Linked DNA regions of Astyanax mexicanus. The protein of the gene in region 3 purifies or fractionates together with the protein of the main gene of each other region. This does not show direct contact. Links are inferred from orthologs where the notes say so. Each region holds a gene or a part of one and is shown on either strand. Other genes may lie near its edges.

Region 1 (7,420 bases), on a different chromosome or scaffold from region 3:
AACACTGAATTTAAAAAAATATATAAAAAATACACTACTGCAACAAAATGAAAAAAATAAATGTTATTATTGCATATGATATGTTACGGCACACCCCTAACTGAGACATTAAAAAATATATAAGATTTTAACAGGACTAATAATGCACTCCATATATCTCAATATATCCATGATTAAAGTAAAATAAATGATACTGGGCAGATAAAATCTCCAGTAGATATATAATGGGAAACGAGAACAGTGTGAATTTTTCTTTTGCTAAAAACAGTTGAAAAAAAGAAGGAGTACCCTGATGTGATAATTAGGGGTGGGTGATATGACACGATATTTCAGGGTATTATATCGTTCATGATATTCAAAAATGTTAGCAGATTTGTTATGGCACACCCCTATTCCCAATCTTGCTCTGATGGCTCCATGATGTGGGATTCACATGGGTGGAACACAGGCTAGGTGGGTTCAAGACATGGGCATGGGCTCTGAATGGGTTTGTACATGTGTTGTTACTGAGACACAGTTGGAATTCCCAAATGAGCTTCATCATTACAGCCCACCTTCATCTCGAGGGGACCCATCTATGTCCCATGTCTCTGTCTCATACTTTCTTACTCATGCACACTCTTCAATGTTCAATGTTTCTGCCTTGTTGTAACTGACCAGAGCTCGGAGCTGGGACAGGATGTTGGAGACGGTGGCGTTGGGGTCATCATGCTCCTGTGGTGTTTCAAACGGCCGTCCACACAGTGTTATAAGCCAGGCTGCAATCACACTGAACATGTAGAACTGCTCACCCGTGTTGCTCGCTGTGTATGGACTCGACACAAAATAATGCCTGAGAAAAATAGGAACAGTGAGGAGGACAAGAGAAAGAAAAAGACAAGGACAAAGAGAGAAACACAGACAAAATGAGGACAATCAATGTTATATTATTAATATTATAACTAATACAGGGGTTGGACAATGAAACTGAAACACCTGTCATTTTAGTGTGGGAGGTTTCATGGCTAAATTGGAGCTGCCTGGTGGCCAATCTTCATAAATTGCACATTGCACCAGTAAGAGCAGAGTGTGAAGGTTCAGTTAGCAGGGTAAGAGCACAGTTCTGCTCTAAATATTGCAATGCACACAACATTATGGGTGACATACCAGAGTTCAAAAGAGGACAAATTGTTGATGCAGGTCTTGCTGGCGCATCTGTGACCAAGACAGCAAGTCTTTGTGATGTATCAAGAGCCACGGTATCCAGGGTAATGTCAGCATACCACTAAGAAGGACCAACCACATCCAACAGGATTAACTGTGGACGCTGTAAGAGGAAACTGTCTGAAAGGGATGTTTGGGTGCTAACCCGGAGTGTATCCAAAAAACATAAAAGAACCTGATCAAATCACGGCAGAATTCAATGTGCACCTCAACTATCCTGTTTCCACCAGAACTGTCCGTCGGGACAATAAATTATTGTGGTCTAAAACCAGGTGTTTCAGTTTCATTGTCTAACCCCTGTACAACTGGCAGGATTATTTTTATGTAGAGCTGCTCTAAAAAGCAACAATAATCAGTGTTTTAGCAAAATATTCCACAAGATCCTACAGTAGCATTACAGTAGTATGAAAAGGTTTTGGCACCCCTGATCATTTTCAGGATTTCCTTTCATAAATTTTTGGTTGTTTGGATCAGCAATTTTAGTTAAATGTATCATATAGCAGACGAACACAGTGACATTTGAGAAGAGAAATTAAGTTTATAGGATTTACAGAATGTGTGCAATAATTCTTCTATCACAATAAGACAGATTAGGCAGAATTTGGAGGTCCTTGTGGTTTTATTGTTTTGAATCTGATTTTGCTATTTATAGATATATGTTTAAGTTGTTTTATTCTATAAACTACAGGCAACAATTCTCCCAAATTCCAAATATAAATATTGTCATTTAGAGAACTTATTTGCAGAAAATACCATTTTAGAGCTTTTAGACCTCAAATAATGCAAAGAAATCAATCAAAGAATTTAGAAATCAATATTTGTTAGAATAAACGTAGTTTTAATCACAGTTTTCATGCATCTTGGCATGTTCTGCTTTTGGGTAACTTTATGCCTTTAATCCTGGTGCAAAAAATCAAGAAGTTCAGCTTGGTTTGATGGCTTGTGATCATCCATCTTCCTCTTGATTATATTCCAGAGGTTTTTCATTTGGTAAAATCTAATCATTTTAAGTGGTCTCTTATTTTTTTCCAGAGCTATATATACATGTATTTTTACGGGCTTAGCTTTAAATACTGGCTAAATAACATTACATGAAGATAGCTACATGACTTGCTGAATTTACTCAACAGTGGCCGATCCAGGTCCAGAAAGTACTGATCCACCCCCAGGATTTAGTTCCAACTGTCTGGGTGGCTCTGAGCTGCAGCAGAGCCGCTCAGGTAGTTGGAACGAAATCCTGGGGTGGACAGGTACTTTCTGGACCTGGATCCAGAAACAAAATAGCCAGCTAAGGCTAATAACAATGCTATAATAAGCTAGTCTATCTCATTTTTTGTTGTTTTAACTCGCCGAACTCTTACCTGGACAGCGTTTTCATGTTGTGTTTAACCAGAACATGTTCCTCATAATCCAGCAGCTTCAGTTTATCCAGCATATCCTCCATAACCACAAACATCTGAAATTGAGCTCCTGGACCCCGTTCATCCTCCTCCACTCTTCTACCATCTTCTGCCATACTGTACACTAAACTACAGCGGGTTAGAGAGCTGTAGTTTACTCGTCAGATGGGTAAATTAAAGCCTCTTTTGTGCTGTAGAAGGGTGTACAGTTAGCTAGGTTAGCTAAGTTATCCCGCTAGCCGCTGCTAATGCTGGGCTGGTGTCTGTGCGGTTTGTTGTAGTTACTGTTGGCAGCTTAGTTTAGCCTGTAGCTCACTACAGGGTTGCCAGGTCTAAAAACATAACCAGCCCAAAGTCAGTTTAGAACCCGCCATTCAGAAGCTTAAACTAGCCCAAAATATACAGCTCTGAAAAAAATAAGAGACCACTTAAAAATGATGAGTTTCTGTGATTTTACCAAATTGAAAACATAATGTAATATAATCACGAAGGAAGATGGATGATCACAAGTCATCAAACCAAGCTGAACTGCTTGAATTTTTTGCACCAGGAGTAAAGGCATGAAGTTACCCAAAAGCAGTGTGTAAGACTGGTGGAGAAGAACATGATGCCAAGATGTATGAAAACTGTAATTAAAAACAGGGTTATTTCACCAAATATTGATTTCTGAACTCAAATATGAATATGAACTTGTTTTCTTTGCATTATTTGAGGTCTGAAAGCTCTGCATCTTTTTTGTCATTTCAGCCATTTCTCATTTTGTGCAAATAAAACTTTGAATGACAATTTTTTTCAGGAATTTGGGAGAATTTGGCCGTAGTTTATAGAATAAAACCACAATGTTTATTTTACTCAAACATGTACCTATTAAATAGCAAAATCACTGAAGTCGTCTCTTAATTTTTTTCCAGAGCTGTCTGTCTCACGGCTTAGTATTTACTTACAGTCATTAATAATAGTGTTACATTAGTATTTTTTATTAGTTATTTTATAACAGTTTTATATCACAGTCAAGAACATTTAATAATAACATAAATAGCAAAAAATAAAATAAAATTACTTACTCTTTTCTATTCCTGCCCCTCCTGAACTTTCTTCACTCCTCTTCATTATTTTTAATTGCCTAGTGATTTCTGGTTACACTATGTTTTTTTTTTTTTTTTTTGGGTGGGGGGGGGGTGTGACTTTTTGTTTTTGTTTTTTGGTGGCCGCGGTAATTTTTAAAAGAAGCCCGAAAAACGCACCCCGCCACCCCTGAATTTTCACCCGCGACTGGATTTTCAAACAAGCCCAATTTGACGGAAAAACCGTGAACCTGGCAACTCTGGCTCACTAACTGTTGTTCAGTAACGTTTAGCAGTAATACCTGCACACTACAAAAACACTCAGTTATGTCAATAAAAATGGTCAATTAGATCAGACATTTAGAAAATACAGGCGGGTTTGTATTAGTCAGTCAATAGATAGACAATTTCATATAGAATAAATAGAAATAGAAATATAGCTAGACTCGTCAACACTGTATATAACACTTATTTAATTTCCTGGCAATACATATTTCTTTTTTCCTCTGATAAGATTGTTTTTCTTACTAAGCACTGTATAAATGTAAGATTTTTTTTTCTTAGCTTATTTTAGGAATAATTAGGCTTTTTTCCCTTATGTTAGCACAAAATAAGCACAAAAATTATCTAATTGTAAGGAAATAAACCTTTTTTTATCTGATAAATATTTTTGTTTTACTAAGCACTGTGTAATGTTAACATTATTTTGACTATTATAGGAATAATTAGGAGTTTTCACATTATTTAAAGTAATTTGAACTCGAAACAAGCACAAAAAGTGAAATGATTGAATTTTAAGGCAACAAATCTTATTTTTGTCTCTGAAAAGATTGGTTGTCTTACTAAGCACTGTGTATAAGTATAAGAATATTTGCTTATTTTAAGAATAATTTTCACATTGTTTCATGTAATTTGAAGTCACAATATGCACAAAATGTGAAATTATCTAATTTCAAGGCAATCATTTTTTTTTCTCTCTGATAAGAATCTTTATCTCACTAAGCATTGTGTATGTGTAAGATTGTTTTGCTTATTGTAGGAATACTCAGTCTAACTTAGAATTTTAGAACTCAAAAAAGCACAAAGAATCACCGGTCAAGTTAATTTAATCCTTGAATCCATATTTAATCCAAAAAATCAGTTATTTTTTTATTGATTTAAGTTCTACTCCACTCATTTTGAGACAAATGTCTCCATACGTCTGTGAAATATTTATTTAAATTTTTTACAAACATTGTATAATACAATTTTTTTTAATTAACACATTATAAAAATATAGATCTACTTTAAAGGCCTTTAAAGCTTTATTTGATGTGGGAAGGTTTTTGCTGCTTAGTTAAGTTGAATGATTCTTTCAGGGGATTAAATAACCTTTTTTAAATTGTGTTAAAAATGTATAAAGTTTTTAGGCACTGACATTTTTAATTTAGCTTTTTATATACATATATCAAACTATTTAAATGTTTCCAAGAATTCCCTGTCCATTCTGTCATTTTGGGATAACCCCGCCCCTTTAACATAACGTTTTACATCAGTGATACCATAACCTTAAGAAACTTAAGACACTTGTTGCATGTTCAGCAATTTAATTTAATATGAATCACATTATTTCCATATTAAGCTGTGTTTAAGCTCAAGCTGTCCACAGTCTTTTAGTAAAATATCTCAGTAATTATCTCAGTATCTTTGAAACAGAACTACCTCACCATGAACATTCAAACATGCCAGTTTTCAACAAATGCCAGTTTTCTCTTAAATTGTCCATTCTGTAACTGTCCATCCTGTCACTGTCTACTCTGTCGTGCAGCTTGCAATGGGTGAATGCATGCATGACAGAAAGTATCGTTCCTGTGTAGTCTGAAGTAAAATATCATTCTTGTGTAGTCTTATAAATATAAAAAATAGTCAAAAGACGGCAAAAAGGCAGAGTATTCTGGCCAGATTAGCAAAATAATCAGTTTACAGTGTGCAAAAAAGTGCTTAAAAGACTAAAGACCATGCAACAGTGGGCCCACAATTCAAAGCAAACCTACCTACCTACCTGTTAAACATGGTGGTGGAGGTGTCATGGATCGGGCATGGCTGCCACAGATATTTTGACCCATTTTATTGATGATGTAACTGTTAAAAACAGTAGTACAATTAATTGTGAGGTATATAAGAATATCTTATTTGCTCAAGTTCCCGTAAATATCTCCAAACTCACTGTGTGGTGCTTTTTTACTATAGCAAGATCATTCCAGACATAGTTCTCTGGCACCATTGTTGTTTTTCAAAGAATACAAAGTGATTTGTTTTAGTTAGCTAATGCTGGCAGGAAATGAAGGATGTGCCATGATTGATGGAATAATGAATAATGAATTATGCCAGCAAATCCTCATGGAAACTAATAGTATTAATATTATTATTAATATTACTTTTGTCTGCGCTAAATCTCAAAAAAAGGTGGGTTATGCAGCAAGACAATGACCCTAAGTGCATGAGTCATTCTAGCAAAAAATGGACGAAGAAGATCAAAGTGAATATTTTGGAACGGGATCTGGCCAAAATCCTGATCTTAATCCAGTAAAAAAGAAAAATTGTGGAAGGAGCTGAAGCAGCAGAAACCCACCAACATTCCAGAATTGAAGATGTTCTGTATGGAGGAATGGGTTAAAATTCCTCCAAGCCGACATGCAGGACTGATGAACAGTTCAAAACAGCAATTTTATGATGTTTTAATGATAATATCTGTACTGAATTTCAAGTAGGATTTACGCTTTTATTTAAGAAATATATGTATGTTTTTGTATTACTGCTAAGACTATCAAGATATCAAATGCATATCGGCATTTAAACATGCGTGTATCAATGAGTGTGTGTGGGTTTCATAGAGAGAGAGATAGAGAGAGAGAGAGATAGAGAGAGAGAGAGAGAGAGAGAGAGAGAGAGAGAGAAAGAATTCCAGTAGAGCTGCTCAGCTGTTCATATTTATTTCAAGTAATCTTTTTTTAGCAGACATGTCAGATACACACAAACACACACACACACACAGTAACGCAGTTTATCTGCTATATGTATACACTGCCTTTTAAGGTTTAAGTGGAGGTTTTAATTGGGCAAAGTTTATTTTTAATTTACTTTTAAAAAGTTACAGATTTTTCTGTGGTAAAGTCAGTATAACTTCTCAAAGCTTAAAATGTCAGGAAAAAATATTTCAGCTGTTCCTTGATCATCTTGTTGTTGAGCTTTTGGCGCTCATTAGTTGCCCAGACATATTTAGCATCTGCACTAATTTGGCAAATGATAAGACAGGACATTTTTATAACAATAGGAGTGGCACACGTAAGCTCATGTTGGCTTTATCTTACTGTTTTTCATTCTTAACCATTTAACTATGCTGAAATAATAAAAATGAGTCATTCCATTTCTCATTTCTCTCCCATTTACATACATGTTTGGTCTGTGTATGACTTATATTGAGGACGACAAATACACTCATTGACAAAAATAATGATAATAATAATAATAATAATAATAATAACGCACCAAGAAAGAGTTGTTGGAATAGAATGAAGCTTCATACTGTATGTGTGAATGTAATGATGATACTGTATATGTAGGTGATTAAAATATTAGAGTAAAAGGATAAGTTTATTGAGAAAGTGAAAGTTGTCGTTCGGAGGCGTACAGATTCCATATGGCATCTTGTGGCATATTTGCCAACAGATGTTGTAGCTGGGTGTGTAGATCTTGCACACTCATACTGTGGGT
Region 2 (7,085 bases), on a different chromosome or scaffold from region 3:
TGGCTTAAGCAGTAATTACTTGAGATGTTGGAGGTGGGTGTGGTCTAAAGCAGTAATAGGGTGAGGGGCTGGAAGTGGGTAGAGTTTATTAACGCTCTAAACATAAATTCTTTGACTACATTGCAATAATGAAATTTCTGAATATAATTAATAATAATTTAGTTTAGAAAGGTTAAATAAGAGAGCTCTATACTGTACCTATCTGCTTCATGTTACAGTTGAAGTCGATGCTGGTTACTGTGTCTCTGTGCCCTTTAAAGTTTCTCTGGAGGGATGGATCATCCTGAAAAAGCACAATATTAAAAGATAAAGGCACCAGGTTATTAACCCTAACACTAGCGCTATCACCCAGGTCAAATGTATAGCAATGTATATACTAGTGCATTTCAAAAAATGTGAATACCAAAAGTTGCTTTTATTTCAGTAATTATTTTCAAAATGCAAAACTCATATATAATATAAATAAATGCTTTACACACAGAGTGATCTATTTTAAGTGTTTATTTATTTCATTGTTGATAATAATGGAATTTTTAGCCAATAAAAAGCCAAACATCTGTGTCTCAGAAAATTAGAATATTATATAAGACCAATTGGTACTTTCTGCAGTGTGGGCAGTGTGCCAAGTCCTGCTGGAAAATGAAATCTGCATTTCCATAAAAGTTGTCAGCAGAGGGAAGCATGAAGTGCTGCAAGATTTTGTGGGAAAACAAAACTGTACTGACTTTAGACTTGATTTAACACAGTGGATCAACACCAGCAGATGACATGTCACTCCAAACCATCACTGCTCATCAGTACATTTTACATTTCATTTGTAAATCAAGGGATCAGAGTCTGGAGGAAGAGTGGAGAGACACCCAGTCCAAGCTGCTCGAGGTCTAGTGTGAAGTTTCCACAATCAGTGATGGTTTGTAGAGACATGTCATGTGCAGGTGTTGATCCACTGTGTTCTATCAAGTCTAAAGTCAGTGCAGTGTTTTCCCACAAAATCTTACAGCACATTTATGGAGATGCAGATTTCATTTTCCAGCAGGACTTGGCCCACACTGCAGAAAGTACCAATTGATCTTATATAATATTCTAATTTTCTGAGATACCGATTTTTGGGTTTTCATTGGCTGTAAGCCATAATAAACAACAATCACACGTCCAGAGCAACCTAGAGTCCATACCCAAGCCATGTATAATCTGATTTATGCAAATACATTACTTTGCAGCCACCTAGTAAGACCTTAGCAACCACTTAGCAACACCTAAGAAACAATATAGCAACTACCATGGACACCATAGCAACATCTTAGCAACCACCATAGCAACACCATAGCAACAACAGAGCAACCACTTAGGAACACCTTAGCAACTACCATGGACACCATAGCAACCACCACTGATACCATAGCAACACTTTAGCAACCACCTAGCTAATGTATTTGCATAGATCAGATTATGCAAATACATTATCTTAGCATCCACCTAGCAACACCTTACCAACCACTTAGCAACAATATCGCGACCACCACAGATACCATAGCAACACCTTAGCAACCACTTATAAACAACATAGCAACCAACAAGGATACAACAGCAACACCTTAGCAATTAGCTAGCAACCACATGGGACCACCATAGTAACCACCACGGATAACATGGTAACACTTAAGAAATCACCTAGCAACCGCTTAGCAACAGCTTAACAACCCGCACAGATACCCAAGCAACCTCTTTAGCAACCACCTAGCCACCGGTTAGCAACAACATAGCAACCTCCACAGCGAACAGTGGAATCAATTTTAGCTGCACAACTATCTTGTGTTAACTTTTCTAGTTAATTATGTTTTTCTTCATAATTTGGATTACTTTTATTTTTTATTTATTTATTTATACAACTGAACCTCGTTAAAGCTCTGAAATCAGTTTAAATGTTCAAGTAAATACGGTAAATGTGTATTTCATGTAATATGCAGCTCTGGAAAAAAATAAGAGACCGCTATAGTTTCTGAATCAGTTTCTATGATTCTGATATTTATAGGTATATATTTGAGAAAAATGAACACTCTTGTTTTATTTTATACACTACGGACAACATTTCTCCCAAATTGCAAAAAAACATTGACATTTAGAGGATTTAATTGCAGAAAATGAGAAATGAGTGAAATAACAATAAAGATGCAGAGCTTTCAGACCTCAAATAATGCAAATAAAACAAGTTCATATTCATAAAATGTTAAGAGGTCAGAAATCAATATTTGGTGGAATAACCCTGGTTTTTAATCACAGTTTTCATGCATCTTGGCATGTTCTCCTCCCCCAGTCTTACACACTACTTTTGGATAACTTTATGCCTGCACTCCTGGTGCAAAAATTCAAGCAGTTCAGTTTGGTTTTATGGCTTGTGATCATCCATCTTCCTCTTGTTTATATTCCAGATGTTTTTAATTAGGTAAAATCAACTCATTCATTTTAAGTGGTCTCTGTATTTTCAGAGGTCCAAAATCTGGATGATCCACAAACATAGATTAGCTAGTTTTAGTTAAAGCCAGTAAATAACTCACCATAGCGCAGCTCCTTTTCTTTATACACAGAGAAAGAGCAGATAGTCCACACACCCAGCCGATAAACTCACTGGCTAATGTTTAACATTACAATAAACAGAGTCACAGTAAATATAAGCAGATATTTTACTTATATTATATATGTGTTTTTATAAGGAGAGCTGAGTTACAGGTGGCGGTTGTTGTGGAGTTAGCATTAGCTACCTGGCTAACTAACGCTCCCCGGCTCCGTATCAGGTGTTCTCGGGTTTCTAAGAGCTAAAACCAGGCAAACTTCCCGGTTTTATTCACTTTGAACTGAATAGCCGTCTATCTGCGAGCTGTACTGAAATATCCGAATCTGTACAGAAAGTGTAAAGAAGTTCAGAGTGAGAGAAGCACTAGGAACTCGGCTCTGAGCCGCTTAGTAACGAAAACAAACCGCCGACAGATTTGTTTTCCGCGCCGACTTGTGAATGAATCATTTTACTGAATCGGTTCATTTTAATGAATCAAAACTATTAATAAATAGTTGACCGTTTTAATCACCCTGCTATGTATGGCAATGACATTTGTTTAAAGTAACTTATTTGTATGTAAATATATTGCTCTAGAAAGTAAAAAAAATCCATCCCAGGGTTTTGTACCAACTGCCTGGGCGGCTCTGCTTACCCACCTCTAATAATAATCGAAATTCTTTATTTAAAAAGCCATTTTCTTAAAATAAAAAGTTTGTTCAGAGTTAATTTAGCAAATATTTAAAAGTGATGTATTGTTAGAATTTTAATTGTAGATTTTTATAATCTATTAAATAATCACTTTAAAAATTAAAATACAACCAATTAAAAGAAAAAGTGACTGACTTCACTACTTCCCATTCATTCAAGTGACCGTTATGAAGAATCGGTTCGTTGAAATGAATCAAAGTTGGTCGCTAAGACAGATCTCCGCCATTATATCAGAGCATTACTGTTTTAACCGCTAGAGGGAGCCCGCGAGTGAGTCCAAAATGAATGGGGGTGAATGGAGCTAAACAACTAAACAAATTATAAATAAAATAAAAAATACGAATTACACTTAGCCAGGATATTCCTTTAATTTTGAAAATTATAATGATGTATTTTGCTAAAAATAAATAAAACGTACCTTAGTTTTTCTTCAGGAAACCGGTTTTAGGCAGTTAAGGTGCTCGTTACTGCAACTGTAGGCGGATACATAGCAAAAGCATGATTAAAAGGTTTATAACTGGAGTAAAAAAGCTTTAAAATTATGTTTTTCTGTACTAAAACAGGATATATTGTTCTGTGTTTAGAAAATGAGTACACTTTAAAAGCATTCAAATGATTCATTATTTACAATCTCCAATTTTGGTCAATTGCTCCATATGAAGCCATTAATTTTGGACTCACTCGACAGCGCCTCCTAGTGGTCAAATCTGACAAAGATTCACTAGTCTAGTGGGTATTCTCGCTACTAGAGATTTTCTGGGCGACTCCTGATTGGCCAGTATACAGTACGTGAGCATTTTTTTTTTAATCAAAATAAAAGCTCCCTGGAAGACAATATATTATATAAAATGATACGAACTGGAAATACAAATTATACATTAAATATAAATTACATTTAATAATACACATCAAAATAATTTCAAAAAAGTATATAATAATTTGGACAGAGACAGAGATTTAAAAGCGCAGACTGGAAGTCAGCATTGTGGAAACTGCAGTTTAATCAGACCCCCGCTAGAGGTCGGTAAATTGTAGGCTTAAATTTATTTATTTTTTATTTGACCTATAAATTAATACTTACACTTTTAATAAGAAAAAAAAACATAGATGGCTTTAAAATCATTTATTTAAATAAAATAATACTATTCATATATAGTTTTTCCAATATTTTTTCCTACCTCAACATTTAAGCCTGATAAAGGATGTTTGAATCATGATAAATGTATATTCACAAGATTCTAAAAAAAATAAAATAATTGGAATAAATAAATGTATATATATATATTATATGTGTAGAACAAGAGAACCAGTATATAACTGTATAACTGTATAGGCATTTGTACAGTTGTCATGTTCTATATACAGTACTGATAAAAAAGTATTTTCCCCGTTACAGATTTATTATTTGTTTGTTTGTGTTATTATATTTAAATTTTTCAGATTACTAAACAAACTTTAATATCAAACAAAGATAAATAAAAAAAACGTTTATAAATAACTATTTCATTTATTAAGGTAAATTATTAATTGCCTTTCCATGAATGAACTGTGATTAACTACATTTTGTGCAAAGCTAAATTAAATTTCACTACTGTCCAGTGTCCACAACCAGAAGCAGCTAAAAGATCTCAAAAAGCAACAATCTGCCCCAATATGAAAAAAAAAAAAAATCAACAGCAGGTGAGAAAACAGCAACTGAGAAACTCACTGATCTTGGAAAAGGTACAACTTCAACAATTTCTAAGGCTTTGGGACTCCAGCAGACCACCGTAAGAGCTACTATTTACTAATGGAGAAAACATGGAACACTGGTGAACCTGAACAACTCATCCGGGAAGTAACAAAAGAACCCAGAACAACATTTGAAGAAATACAGGTCTCACTTCTCTCAGTTAAGGTCAGTATTAATGATTCAATTATAAGAAAGAGACTGGTTGAAAATGGTATCCATGGGAGAGTCCAAAGCAAAAACCACTGTTGAACCAAAAGAAAACAAAGGCTTGTCTTACATTTGCCAACTTACTGATTAAAACCCTGACAACAGTCAACAGTCAGGCCTCCAATCCTATCTTAGCCATGCAGGAGCGCCATGTGCGTTGCGTGCCCTCAGCGTATACACCCACGTTTCTTACACACTTACACCACAATCCAGCTTTCACATCAACAATAAACAGAATAAAGAATAAAATAACATTGCTGTTCCCTTAAATGAGCTGCTGGCGTACCTTTACAGAGTGAACGAGCAAGTCAGGATCCTCTGCTGAGACACGCAAAAGCGCTGCGCTGTTAAGATACAAATGCGGTTTATTCAGTGGACAAATCTTCTGGACAAAAGTGCAATGAACAATGAAAAGGACAATGATTCAGTTTAAGGGTAGCAAAAAGACACCCAAACAGTGAAGGGTCCTGAGGGTTAGACTGGTGAAGGCTGTCTATGCTGGATATTCTGGCTGAGACCAAGAAAATACAGTTAGGTTATTTTTGCATAAGTCAGAACTCTAAGAACTCTTAAACTTCACTGTATAAGTGACGTTTTTTCGCTTAAACTGATTGATCTTTCTTTATTTTACATTATCTATTGCACTCCAAAAACCCTGTTTTGTCAGGAAGATTGATTTAACAAACTGGCAAAGCTATTTTTTTTTTTTAAATTGGGACTCATTTTTTCCTATGCTGTATTACAACATGAGCATCAGGATCCCATTTGACAAAATCTTTCAACCAATACTATCTGTTTGTGTGTGTGTGTGTGTGTGTGTGTGTGTGTGTGTGTGTGTGTGTGTGTGTGTGTGTATGTGGGATCTCAGAAAGAGCTCCACTCAGCAAACATGTTCTGGGAAAGAAGTGCAGGCTGACATGTTTAAATATTAGTTGTTCTGCTGAAGAGAAGGTGGCTCTGAGTTACTAGTAATTGGGTTAAACTGGGTTTCACAGAAGATAAGCACCAGCTCAAAGCTCAGCTCAGCTGAGTGTGTGTGTGTGTGTGTGTATGTGTGTGTCTGTGTGTAAATCCATAATCTATAATCAAAGATAATCAGAAACAAACGCCTTTTTATTCATTTATTTATTTATATTAAATAGAAATGCAGTATGTATAGCAGGTATTACATGTAGCATAACAAGAGCATGATAACTATTTTTACTATAATGAAATCAGTATAAAATCACCTCTTTCAGAAATGACAGTCTGGGTGGCATCATCATGAGTAATTAGTGCCCCAGCTGCCATAAACTGTGATTACTCAACATTTCACTATAAAACAGCAGCGTCCAGTAAAGACACACCAGTTTAGAGTCTAGCACCAGTTTCTGAGCACCAGTTAATCCTTTTTTTACAAATATATAAGTGCATTTTTATTTAAAACAAGAAAGAAAGAAAACAAGTATCACGTCACATGACTCACATGAGGTTCCCCTTGTGTTTTCAAGCATGATTGTTAAAGATATCAAGTAATTCAAAAAAACTCCTTTTTTAAAAAAAAAATACTTTCTTTGTGCTAAATTGCTTCATAAAGCAGAAATAAAACATGAGCTCTGATCTGACAAAGTGCACAAGTCATAAAGATAGCACGGTTCAAGTTATATCATCATTTCACATTATTTGAATGTTTACTCCAAGTAAAACGACCAGGACAGGTGCTGAAATATATAAAGGTAGAAATATAAATGCAGTTCATTAGAATTTACAGACACAGTAAAAAAAAAAAGAACAATGGAAATACACATTAAATTCAAATTTAAATTCAAATCAAGCCGCAGAAAGCTAATTCTTGTAAAATAGCACCATTAGTATCTCAGACTGAGAGTTCAGTCGTAGCACCAG
Region 3 (7,471 bases):
TAATATTAAGGTACAGCAAAGAGCTACTACATGTTTCAATATTAAAGTACGATGAAGAAATACTGTACAAATACCATTAAAGTAATACATTTTGCAATGCTAAGATACTATCAAATACTATAAAAGAGATATTACTAAAAGTTCTGTTCTTTCAGTAGTAGTTGCAATACTCAATGTTCTAATACTATGGTACTACAAGGACTACAATTACTATCTCTAAACAAACTAAGATACACCTTTTATGCATATTTAAAACCCAATTTCTATCTATTTAGTGGATGTTACATAAAAAAAATATGTAAAATATTTAATATGTTTTAATGTTCCTTTTTATGCAATATGCTACATTCAACAAAAACAGTAAGGCAATTAAACTGTAGAATGTGCAGAAGTGCGTCTCTTTTACAGATCTGACATGATTTAACTGGGTGTGCCCCAACTTGTGCATATTACCAACCCTGAGCCCACTTTCCTCAAAAACATCTTAGTGTTGAGATCATTTGAATTGGTGGAGAGTAGAGAGAGTGTTTAGTGTTCAGTGTGATGCTCGCTTCACCATCTAAGAATCAGCTTTGTTCTGGGATACTTTCAGGAAACCTAGATCTGCAGATTAGAGCTTCAGTTAGAGTGAAAATCACACAGTATATCCAAATATGTCCAGATGTTTGTGGACACCTTTTCTAATGAATGCATTTATCTATGGCCATGGGCTAAAGGGGTATAAAGCTCCCAGTATTGGGCTGTGGAGAAGAGGAACTGTCCAATAGTCCAGTAGTTCTAGGATGAGGGAAGGGATGAGCTGGATGAGAGAATGAGGATGAGGAGATACAATGAATGAATGCCGTGAAGGCTCTCTATGGACAGTAGAGAAAGTTACTCCAAATACAAAGAAGAATAATACATCTTTTTGTTAGTACTGGCAAAATCAATGAATGAACAGGTGTCCCAACTATGGACCCTTTTGTCCATAGTGTTTTTTTGACCATATGGTGTTAAGTGGGTTCAGTTCTTTGTTCTTTCATTTCTTTGTATCTCTCACTTTATTCCCAAGTCAACTGTTGGCTTTTTGTGCCACATTAAGTTTGTGTCGTATCGTTACATCCCTATCAAATATTATTGTGATACTACAAACACTTGATGATATTCTGTATCAAAATCAAGCATCATAACCTGACGTGCATGTGTATCGTCACCACCCTTTGCACCCTTTGCACTGTGAAGCCTGCAGGAAGTTCAAAGCAAAAGTGTAGATCGCACTCGTTCACTGATACACTGCACAACGTACACTCAGCTTAACAGCTAAACTAGCTGTGTTCTGATGTAGGCAACTATAAATAAAATCTAAAGTAATTCATAATAGGCTTAAGTTCCCCAATCATTCTTAGGAACAAATCCACATATAAAGCCCACTTATGCCCTTTTTTTGTACGAAGAATCTGATATTCACTTTTTTTTTTCAGTTTTCTTATCTGAATTTTGCTCTTAAGAATGTCAACTTTTGTAACCCTTTCCAGCTTCATGGTGGAAGTCAACAATTTTAGAATGTAGGTCTTCTGAGAGCTCTTTGAGCTTGTGTGAGGCATGATTCACATCAAGCAATGCTTCTTAAGAACAGCAAACTCAAAACTGGTGTGAGTTTTTTTTTTATAGGGCAGGGCAGCTTTAACCAAGACATCAACAACCTCATCACATCCTCTTAGAAAAGTCATTAGCCTAGGGGTTCACATACTTTTTCCCTCCCTCAATGTAAATTTTAACATGATGTGTTCAATAAAATCATGCAAATGTAATATAATTGTTTGTGTGGCATTAGTTTAAGCAGACTGTGTTTGTCTATTGTTGTGCCTTAGATAAAGATCAAAGCCCAAATCCCAAAGTGTTCAAATCCTGTTTCTTGCAACTGCAAGTTGATAAAGCCCAGCCTTGTTCAGTGATTGCTCTGTTAATCGCTCTATTTAAGGGCTTCTTATCAAAATAGCATGTCTGTTACTTGCGTGAAGAACTTGCCAAGCACACTTTTGAGAAGACAGCGCAGAAAATTATACATCAGTACCTCAATATCAAGGTTTAGGCTACCAGGACTATATTTAGGACCAGCACTTCAAAGCCATACTTGATGGTCAAATTCAGTGTCCCCACCTATGCAGGTATTTTTCACCCTTGTTTTTTTTTTTTTTTTAGCCACTGGGATTTAAATATTTTAGCAGGAAATGGCAGACCGGATGAGTGTATCACAGCCATTCATCAGCTGCGCTTTCACACAAGTTTTGAATGGTATAATACAGTACATTGCTTTCCTTTGCTTTCCAAGAGCAGCTGCTCTTATTTTTCTAGAAAATTGCAGGTTTCTATGCTAAAACACAGATTTTTTTAAGAACACAGCTTCAGAACATGTCGTGAATCCGGCGTAGATTGTTCTTAGTAAGTTAAAACATAAAAACAGACCTCAGAAAACTCTTAATAAAATATTGATGAATGAAGCCCAATGTTTGTTAAAGATATGGGAGCCTCTGCAACAGTGATGAGCTGTACAACACCCAGTTCACCTACTTCCTCAAACCTCCAGCCGCACCTCACCCCACCACTTTGTGCTCTTTGCTCTGCATGGCTTTGACTCATTAATGGACTGCAGCGGTCATTTAACTGTAGCCGAGCTCTTCTAGCAAGAAGAAGCTGTAGAGTAGAACCTGAACATCCAGAGCTCAAAAACTGGAAATGAAGGATGCTTCATTAGTACACAAAGGAATGGAACACACAAAACTGTGTGCAAAGAGAGAGTAAGGTGTTCATGCATTTGGCTGAGGTAAAAACAAAAGGGTGAAAGCGTGGTCAAAAACATGGTAAAGGAACTGAAGGAGGTACAGTACCTGCAGATGAGGAGTCGTGGAAGGCCGAGTGCTGGGCTGAGGGCTGGGCTCTGGCTGGTTCAGGCGCAGAGAGAGAAGTGTGCAGTGAGCGCAGGGCGGCACTGGCAGCAGGAGATGTGCGTTCAGATCACAGAGAGGAAGTGAAAGTCGGAGAGCTGCAGATGAGAATCTCCTCCTCTTTCTGCTTTTCTTTTCCTTTTAAAGAGCGTCGAGCGGCTCGAGCCGCAGCAGATGACACTGTGACTCTTCTGTGTGGCCCTCCTGTCTCCCTCCCTGCACGCGCCATGTGACTCGGCGGGGACCTGCAGCCCGGAGCCTCGCGCTGATTTTAAACTGCCCGTGCTGAAGTCAGTTCACGAGCCTCTACTGACTGAAGCTCCTCGGTGTTCAGTCTGAGAGACTAACTTAATGCTCACTGCATGTTCAAATATTTGTGGATACGCCCTCTAATTAAAGCATTCGGCTGCTTAAAGGACCAGTATGTATTAGATTTTCCTATTATAGTGATCAGGTTCAGATACAGTGGCTTGCACAAGGACATTTTCACATGTTGTCACCTTACAACCACAATTTTTTATGTATTTTATTGAGATTTTCAATGATAGACCAACACAAAGTAGCACATAATTGTGACTTAGTAGAGCCTACTTTTGTTGCAATTACAGCTGCAAGTCTTTTGCGGTTTATCTCTACCAGCTTTGCGCATCTAGAGACTGAGATTTTTGCCCATTCTTCTTTGCAAAATATCTCAAGCTCATCCAGGTTGGAAGAAGAAAAGCATCCCCAGAGCATGATGCTCCCACCCCCATGTTTCACAGTGGGAATGGTGTATTTAAACCCCTTGAACTTTGTGACTTTTTGTCACCTTACAATCACAAATTTTCAATGACAGACCAAGACAAAGTAGCACATCATTGTTAAGTGGAACAAAAAATGATACATGATTCATGAGAGACGTAGTAGAGCCTCCCTTTACTTACAATTACAATTACAAGTCTTTTGGAGTTTGTCTCTACCAGCTTTGTGCATCTATAGATTGAGATTTATGCCCATTCTTCTTTGCAAAATATCTCAAGCTCAGCCAGGTTGGATGGAGAGTGTCTGTGAACAATAATTTTCATGTTTTGCTTGATACTTAATGGGATTTAGGTCCATTCTAACAAATAAATGTTCTTTCAGCTCTGGCTGTGTGTTTAGGGTCATTGTCTTGCTGGAAGGTGTGTCTCCTTCCCAGTCTCAAGTCTTTTGCAGGATTGCCCTGTATTTACCTCCATCCATGTTCCAATCAACTCTTTCCAGCTCCCCTGCCCTGATGCTGCCACCACCATGTTTCACATGGTGTGATAAGCAGTGTTACTGTTCTGCCAAATATTACGCTTTGCATGTAGGCCAAACAGTTACACTTTTGTTCTTATCTGACCACAGCACCTTCTTCCACGTTTCCACGTCCCCTACATGACTTGTTGCAAACTTTAAACAGGACATCTTATGTCTTTTTTTCAACAATGAATTTCTTCTTGCCATTCTTCCATAAAGACCAGATTTGTGAAATGCTCGATTTATAGTTGTCCTGTGGACAGATTTTCTCACCTGAGCTCTGGATTTCTGCAGCTTCTCCAGAGTGACCATGGGCCTCTTGACTGATTCACTGACCAGTGCTTTAATTGCTCGATCTGTCAGTTTGAGTGGACGACCATGTCTTGGTTGGTTTGCAGTTGTAGAATACTTTTCCCATTTTTGGATGGTGAACTGAACAGTGCTCCTTGCAATGCTGAAAGTTTGGGGAATGTTCTCCACGATTTTATCTCTGACCTGTCTGGTGAATTCCTTGGTCTTCATGATGCTGTTTGTTCACTAGTGTTCACTAACAATCCACTTCACAGAACAGGTGTATTTAAACTAAGACTAAATCACACACCACTAAACACTATTAACTAATTAGGTGACTGAAGGCAATTGATTGCGCTCTATTTTATTTAGGGGTTTCAGAGTAAAGTGGGCTGAATGCTTTTGCTTGTCACTCTTTTCAGATTTGTATTTTGTAACGGGTACAGCTACGCTGCCCCTTTAAGAGATGGTAGCTTTTTTTTATGTGTATGTATACAGGGTTTTTTTCCCATGAGGGCTAGTAGTAGAGAGACCCCGAGGAGAGGAGGGTGAGCTCGGACTGCAACTTTATGCTGCCCCTCCATTTTTGATACTCTGTACTACTCCAAGTGACGTTGATAAGAATACTGTATTTTTCTTTTGTGTATAAATAGAATGAGTAGCAGCCGTGTGACCTGGCTTCGTATGGTCTGTGGTGCTAATAAATTAGCCCTTTGTGAAGCCCACTCCTGTGTATGTGTACTGTGTGCTAACAGCTAACTAGCTACCCACCACGCAGCCTCCAGGCCCGGAGCTTCTAAATCCTGTGCTAAAGATAAAGTCTGTGGGAATTCAGCGTTACAATTTGATTAAACTTTTGAAAACCATGTACAGTGAGTCCAAGAAGTATTTGATCCCTTGCTGATTTCCTTCGTTGGCCCACTAATAAAGACATGATCATTCTATACTTTTAATGGTAGATGTATTCTTACATGGAGAGACAGAATATTAAAAAGAAAATCCAGAAAATAAATCTAAGGAATATATATTAATTGATTTGTATTTCATGGAGTGAAATAAGTATTTGATCCCTTAGTATTCATTAGCAGTTCTGGCTTTTACAGACCAGTTAGACACTCCCAATCAACTTGTTACCTGACCTGAAGCCACCTGTTCTCACTAATCACTTGTGTGAAAAACACCTGTCCACAGAATCAGACAGATCACACAGATTTCAAGTCTCCAACATGGATAAAACCAAAGAGCTGTCACAGGACCTCAGAGTCAGAATTGTTGACCTTCACAAAGCTGGAATGGGCTACAAAAAGATTAGTAAGGTGTTGGATGTGAAAGTAACAACTATTGGTGCAATTATCAGAAAGTTTAAAGAGTATAACATGACAATCAACAGACCTCGGCCCGGTGCTCCAAAGCCTCAACTCCACCCGCCATGTGTGGAGGAAGAAAAATGCTGCCTATGACCCCAAGAACACTGTGCCCACCGTCAAGCATGGAGGTGGAAGCATAATGTTTTGGGGGTGTTTCTCTGCCAAGGGTACAGGGCTACTTCACCGCATCACTGGGAAGATGGATGGAGTCATGTACCGCACAATCCTGAGGGACAACCTCCTCCCCTCTGCCAGGGATCTGAAAATGGGCCGTGGTTGGGTCTTCCAACATGATAACGACCCTAAACATATAGCAAAGGCAACAAAGCATTGGCTCAAGAAAAATCACATTAAGGTCATGGAGTGGCCCAGTAGCCAGTCGCCAGACCTCAATCCGATCGAAAATCTATGGAGGGAGCTGAAGGTCAGAGTTGCCAAGCGACAGCCCAACAACCTTCATGATTTAGAGAGGATCTGCAAAGAAGAGTGGGCCAAAATTCCCCCTGGTGTGTGTGCTAAACTTGTGGTTAACTACAACAAACGTCTCACCGCTGTGCTTGCAAACAAAGGCTTTGCCACTAAGTATTGAGTGTGTTTGGCAAGAGGGATCAAATACTTATTTTCCTCATTGAAATACAAATTAATTAAAATATATTCTTTAAAATTATATTCTGGATTTTTGTCTTGATATTCTGTCTCTCCATGTTAGAATATATCTACCATTAAAAGTGCAGAAGGATAGTGTCTTTATTAGTGGGCAAACAAAGAAAATCAGCAAGGGATCAAATACTTCTTGGACTCACTGTATCATTGCTCCACAATTACGCACTACTTTGTGTTGGTCCGTCAGTGGTAAGTTTGCGGTTGTAGGGTGACAAAATGTGAAAGAATTCAAGTTATATGAATATTTTTGAAAGCCACTCTATTTCTATATTTAAGTCCATCAACCTTACTTGCGTTTAAAGTGTTTTCACACTTGTGCTGACTAAATGAGTCCACACTCAGGTCCCAATCTGGGCTTGTTTGAATAGAACGTGCATGATGGTCCACTGTAAAGCTCCTCCAAACCAGCAACCAGAGTATTATCCATACAGTGCATCACAAGATGAGCGTTTAGGCTCTCAGTTAGCACACTCAGTCCACAGAGATACATCTCTCCAATCATCTCTCTAGTTCTGACCATCTTCCCTGTCCCCGCTGAAGAAAAGCATTCACACAGCATGATGCTGCCACCACCATGCTTCACAGTGGAGATGGGGTGTTCAGGGTGATGAGCATTTTCAGATGTTAATTTGAATAAATAAAATTTTGAAAACCATGTATTATTTTCGTTCCACTTCACAATTATGTGCTACTTTGTGTTGGTCTATCACTTAAAATATTAATAAAATAAATGTAAGTGTGTGGATGTAAGGAGACAAAATGTGAAAAAGATTGAAGGGTATGAATACATTTGCAAGCCACTCTGTTGGGTGATTTTGATAATCGACTTCCATTTAAGTATGAATTAATGAAGTTCAACTTATATAGCGCCTCTCTAGAAACCCAAGGACGCTTTACAATTTACACGTTTTACACACAAGCACATTACACATCCACACTCATCCACACACCGGTGAGAAGCGGCAG

Evidence for each region. Proteins that work in one complex are often made in the same cells at the same time.
Region 1: the proteins of coro1a (region 3) and ift57 purify together in Homo sapiens (affinity purification with mass spectrometry; 3 studies listed by BioGRID and IntAct, counting the BioPlex papers as one, with this or other methods). This does not show direct contact. The link is inferred for Astyanax mexicanus from reciprocal best matches to the Homo sapiens genes CORO1A and IFT57.
Region 2: the proteins of coro1a (region 3) and poc1a purify together in Homo sapiens (affinity purification with mass spectrometry; 3 studies listed by BioGRID and IntAct, counting the BioPlex papers as one, with this or other methods). This does not show direct contact. The link is inferred for Astyanax mexicanus from reciprocal best matches to the Homo sapiens genes CORO1A and POC1A.

What each region holds. Positions count from the first base shown.
Region 1 is NC_064411.1:27,941,184-27,948,603, forward strand, and holds the start of ift57 (intraflagellar transport protein 57 homolog), read right to left. Parts: upstream 3,004-7,420; 5' UTR 2,720-3,003; coding exon 2,565-2,719; intron 833-2,564; coding exon 658-832; intron 1-657. UniProt on the Homo sapiens protein: Required for the formation of cilia. Plays an indirect role in sonic hedgehog signaling, cilia being required for all activity of the hedgehog pathway.
Region 2 is NC_064431.1:16,184,446-16,191,530, reverse strand, and holds the start of poc1a (POC1 centriolar protein homolog A), read right to left. Parts: upstream 3,004-7,085; 5' UTR 2,559-3,003; coding exon 2,556-2,558; intron 284-2,555; coding exon 199-283; intron 1-198.
Region 3 is NC_064426.1:19,145,158-19,152,628, forward strand, and holds the start of coro1a (coronin-1A), read right to left. Parts: upstream 3,016-7,471; 5' UTR 2,868-3,015; intron 1-2,867. UniProt on the Homo sapiens protein: May be a crucial component of the cytoskeleton of highly motile cells, functioning both in the invagination of large pieces of plasma membrane, as well as in forming protrusions of the plasma membrane involved in cell locomotion.